Linked DNA regions of Caenorhabditis elegans. The protein of the gene in region 2 purifies or fractionates together with the protein of the main gene of each other region. This does not show direct contact. Each region holds a gene or a part of one and is shown on either strand. Other genes may lie near its edges.

Region 1 (3,299 bases), on a different chromosome or scaffold from region 2:
GAAAATGAAAGCCGGCACACCACTGAATGATTCTGATAGACTTCCATGGCTTCAAGCTATTAACAACTACGCAAGACTCAATCAAGGATACGTTATCGCTTGTTCTGCGCTTAAAAGACGTTATAGATCCATTCTTTGTGAACATCTTCCCAATGGAGCCAGCGGAAGAGCTGTTTTCATTCTGTTGAATTTAAAAAGGCAAGTAATGTTCAGCGCGCAAAAAAATGTGGTGAAAGAAATGGGCAGAAAAGTGAAAATGGACAACAAACAACTCAAATTCGCACTCGCTTCCGTCCGCTCGTTTTCCCACTTTCACACATTTTCACGCATTCATCGTTTCATTTTTTGCAGGGAAGTTCTTCAGCAACGCGTGAATTCCCGTCCCGGACACTTCATGCCATCTACTTTACTTGATAGTCAGCTGGCTACACTTGAACTTCCGAGTCCCGATGAATCAAATATCGTCACTGTTGATGCGAATAGTGAAAATGTGGATCAAATTGTTGATACAATTGTAAAGACTCTGGCATTGATTTGTGAATGATTCTAGAAATCTAAATAATATAAATAAATTTAATAATTTGTCATAACTGACAAGACAACCAACACAATAAACATTAAACAATAAATAAATACTAAACAAAACAATCTAAAATTAATCCACGTCTCTACTGTGCACGAGATAATTCAAAGGAACCATCGCTTTCTTTTCAGGATCGCGAGAAAGCGACTTCCGCATATCAAAAGCATCTTCGTCCCTATCTCCAGTGTAGTATCCAATAATTTGCCGGTAGACGACATATCCAAGCTTCTTATACAATTCGATGGCGATCTTGTTCGAAACACGAACAAACAGATCGACGAAATATGCTCTACGACTGAAAATTCTTAGATTTTAATAAAATATTAATTTGCCATCACTTACGCTTCAGAAGTACGTTCCAAGAACTCCATCATGTAGGCGGCTAGTCCCAATCGACGAAAATTTGGAGCCACAGAGAGAGCAGTTACATGTCCGTGCCAATTGGTGTCGCGTCCTTCGATTTTTCCCATGACTGAAAAATTAAACTATTTCACATTTATGTTTCATTTATTTTCAAACAAACCATAGGCCATAATTTCCCCGTTTGGATGTTCAGCAACTTGGTAATACTCCGGATAGTTCATCATATAGTGCAGGTAAAATTGGAAGCCATACTGCAAAAATAAATATATTTAAATTTTTTTTATTTACTGAGCAATTTACCGTTTCAGTGTTGATATCCAAGTTCACGTTATTGAACTTGAACATATCCATAACGTCGAATGGCCGGAGAGTTGTCATTTTTACTCGCAGTTCTGCAATATATTGCAATATTGAAGGGTAAATTTAAGTGTTATATTAATCACAAAGAAATTGCATTACTTGAGAGAGTTAACAAATTTTAAATTCGTTATTTGCAAACAAAATGGGAAAATAAATTTGGCGAACGCGGAAAAGAGTTGAAAAAGTGCTAAAACGAGGTGGCACTATTAAAAACGGTTCAAATAAATTTCGTAAAGGGCATAGCGCTGTGTTGTCAGAATTTAAATTATTTTTGCAGCTCGTTGATTTATTTTTAAGCATAAAACAAGCTATTATCAGGCTAATTAAGTTAAAAATTAATAAAAAAGAGTAAAATTCCAAATTAATTTGCAAATTCCTAAAGTACGCAAGTTTAGTGCGCGGTGTTTGCGGACTTGTCCACCGTAGTCCGTTGAAAAATTATCCTCTTTCGTTTTTTGTGTTTCAAAAAATAAATCGGTCAGGCGGTCAGGCGCTCCTCCTGACCGTCATCAAGTACAAACAAAACACTAACAGGAGAAAAAATCAATAAGTGACTAGCAGGGTGAGTATATTGTGTATACCTCTGCTTCTCTCTTCCACTTTTCTCTTTCTTTTAAAGAAATTCCAGTTTTTTTGCTTCCATTTTCACTTTCAAGTACACTATCTAATATACCTCATTTTGTATGCATTCAGGTGACTTGACTACTCGAATGGAAGCGGTTAACTAACAAAATATCAACATCATGCTAGGCTATTTTATGTAAGTTTAAATTTAGGCATTTTTCCACATTTTAAAACTTGATTTATTAAACGAAAATTTAATTTCAGTGTACTTATTCAACCGCTACTACTCTGTATCACAATTCTAGTCCTCTCAATTGTCATCTTCCTTCCAATACTGGTATATTTTCTTCCACGCTACACACAGTTCATCTTCTTTCTCAATTTCCGTTAGTTTTTCTTTTTTATCTTATCTTTTATCTTTGATCTATGTTACCTTGTTAAGGACGTCTGCCGAACACCGATTACAATGATTTGGCGTCGAACAACGTTAAATCAATCGGAAGATCTCTTCATTTGCCTGGAAAAAGTGGAAGGATTGGTGTTTGGCACATTCTGCCCAACAAATTGAGTTTAGAATGGAGAACAGAAGGAAAACATCCGACAGAGAGAGATTTTGACGATATGATGAGGGATTCAGAGAATCAGTAGGATTTTCAAAGAATGAATTCAAAAAAAATCAATAAATTTCAGAATTATCTTCTACGCTCATGGAAACTCGTTCGATCGCACATTCTACCATCGTGTGGAAATGTACAATTTGCTCAGTGATTGTAATTATCATGTCGTCTGTTTCGATTATCGAGGATATGGAGATTCAGAAGGAACACCAACCGAAAAAGGAATTGTTGAAGATACAAAAACAGTATACGAATGGCTGAAGGAGAATTGCGGGAAGACGCCTGTTATTGTATGGGGTCATTCGATGGGAACTGGGTGAGTTAAATTTATTATTTCACTGCAATCAGAAATTTTTAAACTCAATTTTTAAAGTACTGAGGATAATGCAAAAAAAAAATGCTGACTGATTTTGATATCAAAAAATACAAATTTAAGATGGCTTTTTTGAGCATAGCTCTAGTTCACCAAAATTAATAACATTTTTTCTTGAAAAATCGGGTTTCAAGAAATTAAAAACAGCTTCATATGTTGCAGGTGTAAATCAAAATTCGAAACTTCCATATTCAAAATTCGGAAATGTTTCGTTTTTTCCGAAAAATTGCTTCAAGTTTTGGCCATTTTTCTTTTTGTTAAAAAAAATTTAAACATTTCCAAATTTTTTTTATCATCGACATACACAAAAAAATTTTTTAATTGATTTTTTTTTGTTATATCAAACATTTTTTTCAGTTTTCTCTGAAAAAATGAAAATTTTTCGATGACACCCTTGATACTAATAGAGAAACTACGATACATCTAAAATACTGTTCAA
Region 2 (3,610 bases):
TATATACATTGTTGAAGGGATTTGGCATCGAATTGAAAAATTAGAAAAAAAATTCAAGTTGGAAGTCTGAATAGAGATTTTTCCTCTTTCAAAACTATTTTCAATCTAAAAAACCCTGAAATATTTGCAAATCTGCTTATTATATTGCGAAAATTTGCGATTTTAATGTAAAAAGACGGGTCTCGAAGCGACCGGGTTTTAAAGGGTACTGTTGTTGGAAATTTTTTGTTGCTGCCATATTTTAATTGACTATCTCAATTTGTCCCCCGTTTCTTGAAAATTTATCGAAAAAATGTGAAAATGCATAAAACATATACATAAAAATTTGAAGAACCTGGAGAAAAACTATGAAAAATCGATGAAAATTTGGCGAAAATTAGGAATTGGAAACTACAGTACTCTTTAAAGGCGCACACTTATTTGCAATAATTAAAAATCGGTCGCTTCGAGACCGAGTACAGTATTTTCGTGCAAAATATCAATATTTCATCTCTGTAATATGAATTTAACCAAAAAAAAATGCACTCTATTTTTATTCCCTAAAATTCCGATTCGAAAAAAGTTGAAGCTTTAGTTCTCCTGCCCCAGAACGCAATTAAAAAAAAAAAACTTTAAAACTTTTATTGCGGTTTTTGAAAAACCCGATAAGTGAATGATAAAATAAAATACATAAAAATCCGAATAATAATAATGTAAAAATGAAATTCTAGACAAATTAGAATATTCAGTACTTCTTCTTGAACATTTGTTTTCTCTTCAACTTTCGCTTCTGCTCTGCGGTAACTTTTCCGCGAACGAATTGCTTCTTTCTCAGATTGATTTTCTGGAAGTTTTGATCGCTTTTTGATGAACCGCCGAGTTTTCTGGCTGCTGGATTGTAGGAACGTGCTTTGGCAACATCTTCGTTTCTGAAAAAAAATTATAGATTGATTTGCATGAAATGTGTCAAAAAAATGCTTAAAATAGCCTGGAATCTGCAAATTTCCGAAAATTAAAGCTCGAAATTTCAATGAAAATCTAAAACTCACGTCTCATCATCGAATTCTTCAACCGGACCTTCAACTTCTTGACCCTTTTCCGGCGTTGGTAAGAGAAGCATTTTGAGATCCTGAAATAGGAAAATGGAAATTTTAAATTAGTATTTAAATAAAACAAACCCTCAATGGTCTCTGGTAAGCGCGTTTTGTTGGAGATTTGATCGGTGTTAGCGTAGATTTAACGGCAGATTTTGATGTGCTCGCGGAGTATGACTTCACAGGGGAAAAGTCGTCGAATTCGAACGGAACTGATCCCACTGGCTTCTGAAATTTAGTTTATTTTATTATTATAAAGATTATTAAAGTTTCAAACCTTTTTAGGCGACACCATGCTCTTTTCCGGCAAAACTTCGATCGCAATCATTTTCTGCAATTTTATTTTAAATTTCAGCAGTTTTTAATGCGATATCAACCTTTCTGGGTGAAGATCTCAGTGGAATTGGATTTTTATCATTTTCCGAGCCGAGCTGATTAAGATTAACTCGTTTTTTGATAGGGCTGAATTGCTCGCCTTCCATCATTTTCATTTCGAAATTCTTCCGCTTCACTCCACGTTTCGCTTGCTTCTCTTCGATTTTCTCGTCATTCTCCTTCTTTTCAGATTGAAGTATAGCTGAAATAATAATTTAATGTAAATACGTTTTTTTTTCCATTAATTACCTTTAATATGATTCGGAGCTACAGAAATATCTCCTGCCGTTGGTGATCTTCCATAAATCTCTCGGAAAGACGTTTTCCACTCTTCCATTACGTTCGGGCTGAAAATAATTTAAAAATTTAATTTGAAATCGAAAAGATTCGGCAGAAAACATGTGAAAACAAAGAAAATAAGAAAATAAATAGAGAAAATGAGAGCAAAAACCAAAAAACCAGGAGCTGTTTTCAAAACTCGCGCCAAAAATGTGTGGCAAGTGCGCTCCACCGCACACTTTTCCAGCGCTTGCTTTGAATCGCAGCTCTGTTTTATATATTTTTTCCACGTTTTATCTGAAAATTTCCAGATTTGTAGCCTTTTTTCTGTATTTTCTTGCTTTTAAACTGATATTTTGATGAAATTTTCTGAATAGGATAATATGAATAGAGAATATGAACTGTCAATTAGGAAACGCGTGCTTATTCCATATTAGGAATAAAATTTTAAATAATTCTACTTGGTTTTTAATTAAATTCAACTCCTTATTGTAAAGTTTGTAAACATTTGACTAATTTGAAGCTGTATTCCTTGAATTGTACTAAATAATTTGTTATTTAACATTAACATCATCTTCCTCTATCAAATATTTAGCCGAATGACATTTTCATTGAATTCAACTTTCTCTCCACTCCAAAACCTTGGCTCCATGAAATTGTCGAACTAATCGAAGAATTGCTGAAAAGGGATATGTCTCTGTTTCCATACTTCTTCTCCATCTCCCTTGCTTTTCTATTTCATTTCTCTTGCGGGTCCCTAATGATGGCAGGAGAGCCCCGTCCGCTGCCTTCAGTATATTCCAGGCTTTTCGCTCTAGAAAAAACAATCGAGAAGCGCGTCTTCTTCCTCTTCCCAGTTCTTGTTGCCTGCCATTCGTCCCTCCATTTTTCACATCGTCGTCTGCGTACCATATTGTGCACACATTCCCCTTCTCACTTTTTTTTTGCGTTGTCTCCGTCTCTTTGTGTCGTTCAACGTGTCTCTCTCTCTCTCTGCCCTCACAAAACCGGCTGACACGACACGGTCAGAGAAGAAGAGTCTGGCCACTGCTGCTGCGCCCGTCGCCCCTCTCTACGCTCCTTCTTCTCCACCACCCACTTCTCCATTCGCTTCCATAAGTCGGATGACGTGATACTGACTTCTTCTCCTTCGTTCACCATTCTCCACGGCGTCGACGTCCCTTTTCGGAGATGGACACGTTCGAGCTCGACTCGGACGCCTTCTACATTTGCACAGAAGTGTCACCGCGAAACTTTGTCGTTCAGAAGGTTTGTGTCATCTAATTTGCATTCGGGCGTGCCTCTGTGTAACGAAACACTCCTTTAAAGATTTGTATGTAACTAGAAAAATAAAATGGCTACTTTAAAAGTTAACAAACCCCATTTTAGTAGGGGTTTTTTATCGAAAAGTGTCAGCTACTTCTACGTCTACTTTCACTTAGTCTTCGCACCTATACCATAAAAACCGGATCTCGTTTCACTTTTCTTTAAGTCGTATATCGTGCGCTCCATAATATTTCACGGAGAGTTCAAATATTGCTTGAAATAATTTTTAGAAATACTCCGTGCTTTCCTTGAGTAAAGATAATTTTTTTTCTCAATTTTAAAATAATTCTGAAATATTTTGGAAGAATCATCTCAAAAGTTCATTTTCTGCATCTGCAAAAAGTATATTTCGCTTAAAAACGTATGACGCAAAGCCCCCGTTTGAATAACAGTTTCCAAAGTACTTTTTAAGTATTCTGGCAGCTGAATTGCACCTGCCTGGATATATTTCTCGTAGAGTTTTCCCGTGTGTTGTCTACTTCTTGCCCCATTCTGCCATTGAATTCTGCCACTGAATTCTGAAAATAGACGTATATATTTATTATCAAATCTTTATG
Region 3 (4,370 bases), on a different chromosome or scaffold from region 2:
TTTTTTTTTCTGATTCTGAGCAAAAAAGCGTAACGTCGAGAATTTTCGTTATCTGGGAAATAGGCCTTGTAGGCAAAACAATGCCTGCCTGCGTGAATACACCTTGTATCGCTTAATTTCTAACTGTAGAATAGGCATGGACTATCTCCATTCATTCGGGTTGTAGGTACAAAAGTAGGCATTTTCTATCTGAGTTCAATTTCCACGAAAATTCTTCCTTTTTTTGATATTTCTAGAAGTTCACATAATTTTACAAAAATAAAAATACAATGCCGCGGGCTAGAAGAAAGTAGACAAACTATAAATTAAAAAACAACCGTTTTGATGTCATTATACCACTAACGTGAAACAGTGGAAATTTTCGAACGTTCCAAAATCAAGTTATTATATGAAAAGGCAGAAAATGTTTTAAAATGTTCTCTGTAGATTTTATTCGTATGTAGCAATGTATTGGCGATCTGGTATACCTGAAAAACTCTACCATGGAAATCCACACTATGATAGAAAACATTCAACATTAAATTTTTAATCTGAAAAAAGTTGTTCATGTTGTAAGAAATCTGCACACAAACGTAAATAATTTTCAGTTTCAAGAGTGTTTTCAAATTTCGCAATAGATGCCCAAATCTAGTTTCAAAATCCCATGCACTTTGTGTTTTAGTAGAGCTATTTTTATTTAACTTGACGAAACATGAACATTTTAGTTTTTTGTGTAGGTTTTCAGGTTTTTTTTCAAATACTACACTTTTTAATGTTTTACTGTTTCAGACAAAGTAGATAATTTTCAAACAATGTTTTTTAATGTATTGAAGCTAATTTATATCTCAAAAAATGCAATTGTAAATAGACGCCCACACTTAATCAAAGTATCAGAGATCGTGTTTACTTTGAGATGGTTTTCACCAATGTGACGTGGCAAAATGATTTATTTATTTATTTTTCGTTATTTTCACAAGATGCTCGAATTGTGAAGAATTAAAATGATGTAGGGTTTGAATTTTTATTACTGTTTCAAACATTGTTTGAAAATCAATGCGTAATTACTATTGCGTTCTCGGCTTTTTTGAATTTTGAAGTTAGAAATTTGCAAAATAAGAAATCAGTTTATGCTTCCAAAAATTGTGGTTTTTTTTTCTGGATTTTTAGCTATCGAAAATTAAATAATATATATTTACATCAAGAATACAAAAGAATGCAACTTTTTATAAAGTCGAGGCTAATTTTTATATTTAATTTCAAACATTCTAAAAACCCTGGAAACTCTAAATATTTACAAAAATGTAAATAATCGAGTGTGATTTTCTGTGACAAATCCTTCCTTCCAATTCTCTTCTTTTCAATTTAAAGTGCGGTCACTGCCACAGACATCTCATTTTTCACCTCCACAGCCTCCCGGCGGTCACTATTATTCCGATCCTATCTCATTCACTTTTGTTTCAAAATATTTTTACAATGGGTTCTTCTTTTTGCCTCATTCTTTTATTTTTGTTTTGTGCTTTTTATGAGTCATTCCTCTTGAGATGTGATTCTTTTTTTTGGAATGTTTACCCGTTGAGGTACTCTTTGAAACTGTTATTATTACTTTTCTTAACTTTGCCTTGTGATTTCGAATATAAAAGATACGTTATTCGTGTTTCTTGTTGACAATAGTTCATGCTTATCACCGTCCCATTTTTATCAGTTTTATCATTTTATTATCAAATTTAAATCAATCTTCTTCATTTGTTCCTATTTCTTATATTGAAATCTCAATTAATTGAAGTCCATTAGTCTATATACTTTCTTTTAATTCAACTAATGGATTCTTCAGCGACTAAAATGTTCCGAGAGAAAGACGTTTCGACACGACTCATTCGACCGACTATCACTGAAATTCACGTGGATAAACTTGCACTTTTTGTGGAAAGATGGAATCACGATTGGGAAATTGATGCAAGTATTAAGGTAATTTTAAAATTTTACTGTTTCAGAATTTTCGTTTAAAAAAGTATCACGTGACGGACAATGTTAACTGTGGTTCAACTGCCAAAATATTTTTTCGTAATTTTTAGAACATTTTCTGGAATATATTAAGCATATTATGTCTTGCAAGCTGGTTTATACCGATTAATCTTGGAGAACTAAGTATGAGTAGTTACTTCGTTTAATTAATAGAACCAAAAAGTTTCAGATTTTTCAAATTTCTGGTAAATAGCCAAAAAATACGGACTTTGTAAAATTTCAAGTAAACTTGAAATCCTAACTTCGTCGTATGTTCCTCGCATATTGGTCATCTCTCCTTTTTGCAATTTCGGTTGCCTCGTTCGTCGTATATTCGTCGTATATTGCGTCGTACATTCCGGACTTCCTTCTAAATGTATGAGCAAAATGCGAGGAATGTACGATGCGAATTGCCGAGATAGTCATGCAGATAAAAAAAACTCTGTAATGTTTTAATTAATTAGAAATACATAATAAATTATAAAATTACAAGAACAATTTTTCGGTCAATTCCCAAAATTGTAATAAAGGAAAGGCTTTTTTTTTAGGAAATTTCAAAAAATTTGTTTAAAAATTTTCGCTGTGATATTTTTCATTTCAGTACACGCAAAAAAATAGTAGGAAAAAACACCTTCTTGTGACTTTCGATCAAATATTTTTGCAGTCGAATAAATCAAAATAGGTTTAGTAAACAAATTCGAAAAAAATTACTGTTTCAACAACATTTTAAACACTTTCACTAGAAAACATGGCTACTGTACTATGTATTCATTATGTCCAGATTTTCGACGAAGGAATTGCACAATACATGCTGACTGATGTTGAATCACATTACAAATATTTCGCGGCATTAATCCTATCCAAACCAAGTTTGCGGTGCCGAATTGTTAAAGAAGAGCCAAGAGATGAGTTGGAAGAACAGGAGAACCGAATTATTTTGGTGAGACAAAATTAGGTATTAAATTGACAAAAAACAACTAATTTCCTCCAAAAAACCCCCTTTTTTGAATCAGAATCTCCCAAAACGTTTTTTTAATTACCTCCACGATGAGAACTGCAAAACCGATCCACGATTTGCTCCGACCGCTTTTGAAACAATCAAATGAAATGAATGGAATTCGAAAACACTGATCGGTTTTGCAGTTTTAATCTTTTAGAAAACTTGTGATGAAAGATGGGTCACAATTAAACATACAATGAAAATTTAGTCCCGGGAAGACGTTAAACTATTAATAAATGATTAAATCGAAATTGATATAAAAACTTGTTGAAACATGAATTTCATTTTTTTTTTAATAATTCGCACTTTCTGCATTTTGTCAATTTGTAACATCTGGAAGCCTGCCGAGTAGACACAAAACTGCCTGCCTGCCTTTAAAGCTACCTACGCCTGATCCGTGCCTACTGGCAATTATTGGTTTTTTCCGAAGGAAGAAAATTAGAAATTGATAGTTTAAACTGTTACAACTCTATACATCGGATATTATGAAAAATTTAAATCTGAGGCGGTAGGCAGGCGTGTAGGCATGTAGGCATGAGAAAAAATTTTCGCCTATTAAAATAAAATAATTTCCAGCTCGGCGGAGAAAAGCTGAATACAGAAAGCCACGGAAGTATCGAATTTCTAAAAAATGTACTGCACAAACGTGGATATCGATTCGAATAACGACAATTATACATGTTCCCCAATACACTGATGAATAACTAATGCACGTCTCTTGTCTGTACCCTCCTCAATTTGCACCCCCACAATGTTTTATTGATTAAAAAAAAGAATTGTTGAGAACCTTAATCACTGATGTTTTACCAACAACTTTTTCATATTTAGCCTGTTTATTTATTTATTCCGGTTTTCTCGTTCTCTCGTATCTCCATTTTGCTTTATGGCACGGCCTTATAACACAAGTTGAGACACACTTGTGGATGCCGACGCCCAGAGGCCCAACAAACTGAACGCCAGTACCGACAGGCACCGACCCCCAGGCATTGGAAAAAGCATGAGAGAGTTAGACGCCGAGAGATAGAGACAATGTGTCTGCGTTTCTCGGAATTTTCAGATATTTACTATTTACATTGACCTGTTCATGAAAAACTGACATTAAGCAATTTTCAGATTGCATTTTTTGCTTAAAATGATATAAAGTTGAGAACAGTTTTACAGGGAGGCCCTGTTATTGGACTGGGTCTTGCAGCGAAATGTTGTTGTTTGTCTGTAGAACTTTTACGACAAACCAAGATGTTTTATTTCTAGTTTGAAAGTATTTATATTATTAATAAATAAAATAAATTTATTTCAAAAGTTTTGATGGTCTCTAAAAGATTAGAACTGAACAAAAAATTAGTAAAAATGCTCTTTATTGGAAAATTGTCTAATTTTTTTCTCTTTTTTC

Evidence for each region.
Region 1: the proteins of sld-2 (region 2) and natb-1 fractionate together in Caenorhabditis elegans (co-fractionation; one large-scale study listed by BioGRID). This does not show direct contact.
Region 3: the proteins of sld-2 (region 2) and T19E7.6 fractionate together in Caenorhabditis elegans (co-fractionation; one large-scale study listed by BioGRID). This does not show direct contact.

Annotation. Positions count from the first base shown.
Region 1 is NC_003283.11:7,982,094-7,985,392, forward strand, and holds natb-1 (N-alpha-acetyltransferase 20), read right to left. Parts: upstream 1,339-3,299; 5' UTR 1,325-1,338; coding exon 1,247-1,324; intron 1,198-1,246; coding exon 1,107-1,197; intron 1,056-1,106; coding exon 926-1,055; intron 879-925; coding exon 656-878; 3' UTR 564-655; downstream 1-563. Other genes in the region: F26D11.1 (Gluconokinase), read left to right, coding at 1-198, 352-544; abhd-12 (Serine aminopeptidase S33 domain-containing protein), read left to right, coding at 2,050-2,066, 2,135-2,256, 2,313-2,514, 2,561-2,803.
Region 2 is NC_003279.8:3,739,643-3,743,252, reverse strand, and holds sld-2 (Ribosome biogenesis protein NOP53), read right to left. Parts: upstream 1,803-3,610; 5' UTR 1,786-1,802; coding exon 1,698-1,785; intron 1,651-1,697; coding exon 1,451-1,650; intron 1,405-1,450; coding exon 1,351-1,404; intron 1,302-1,350; coding exon 1,158-1,301; intron 1,109-1,157; coding exon 1,029-1,108; intron 909-1,028; coding exon 725-908; 3' UTR 606-724; downstream 1-605. Other genes in the region: larp-5 (HTH La-type RNA-binding domain-containing protein), read left to right, coding at 2,919-2,996.
Region 3 is NC_003282.8:5,666,944-5,671,313, reverse strand, and holds T19E7.6 (SCP2_2 domain-containing protein), read left to right. Parts: upstream 1-1,810; 5' UTR 1,811-1,818; coding exon 1,819-1,944; intron 1,945-2,008; exon of another isoform or gene 2,009-2,029; intron 2,030-2,294; exon of another isoform or gene 2,295-2,393; intron 2,394-2,736; exon of another isoform or gene 2,737-2,757; intron 2,758-2,761; coding exon 2,762-2,920; intron 2,921-3,188; exon of another isoform or gene 3,189-3,213; intron 3,214-3,556; coding exon 3,557-3,646; 3' UTR 3,647-3,767; downstream 3,768-4,370.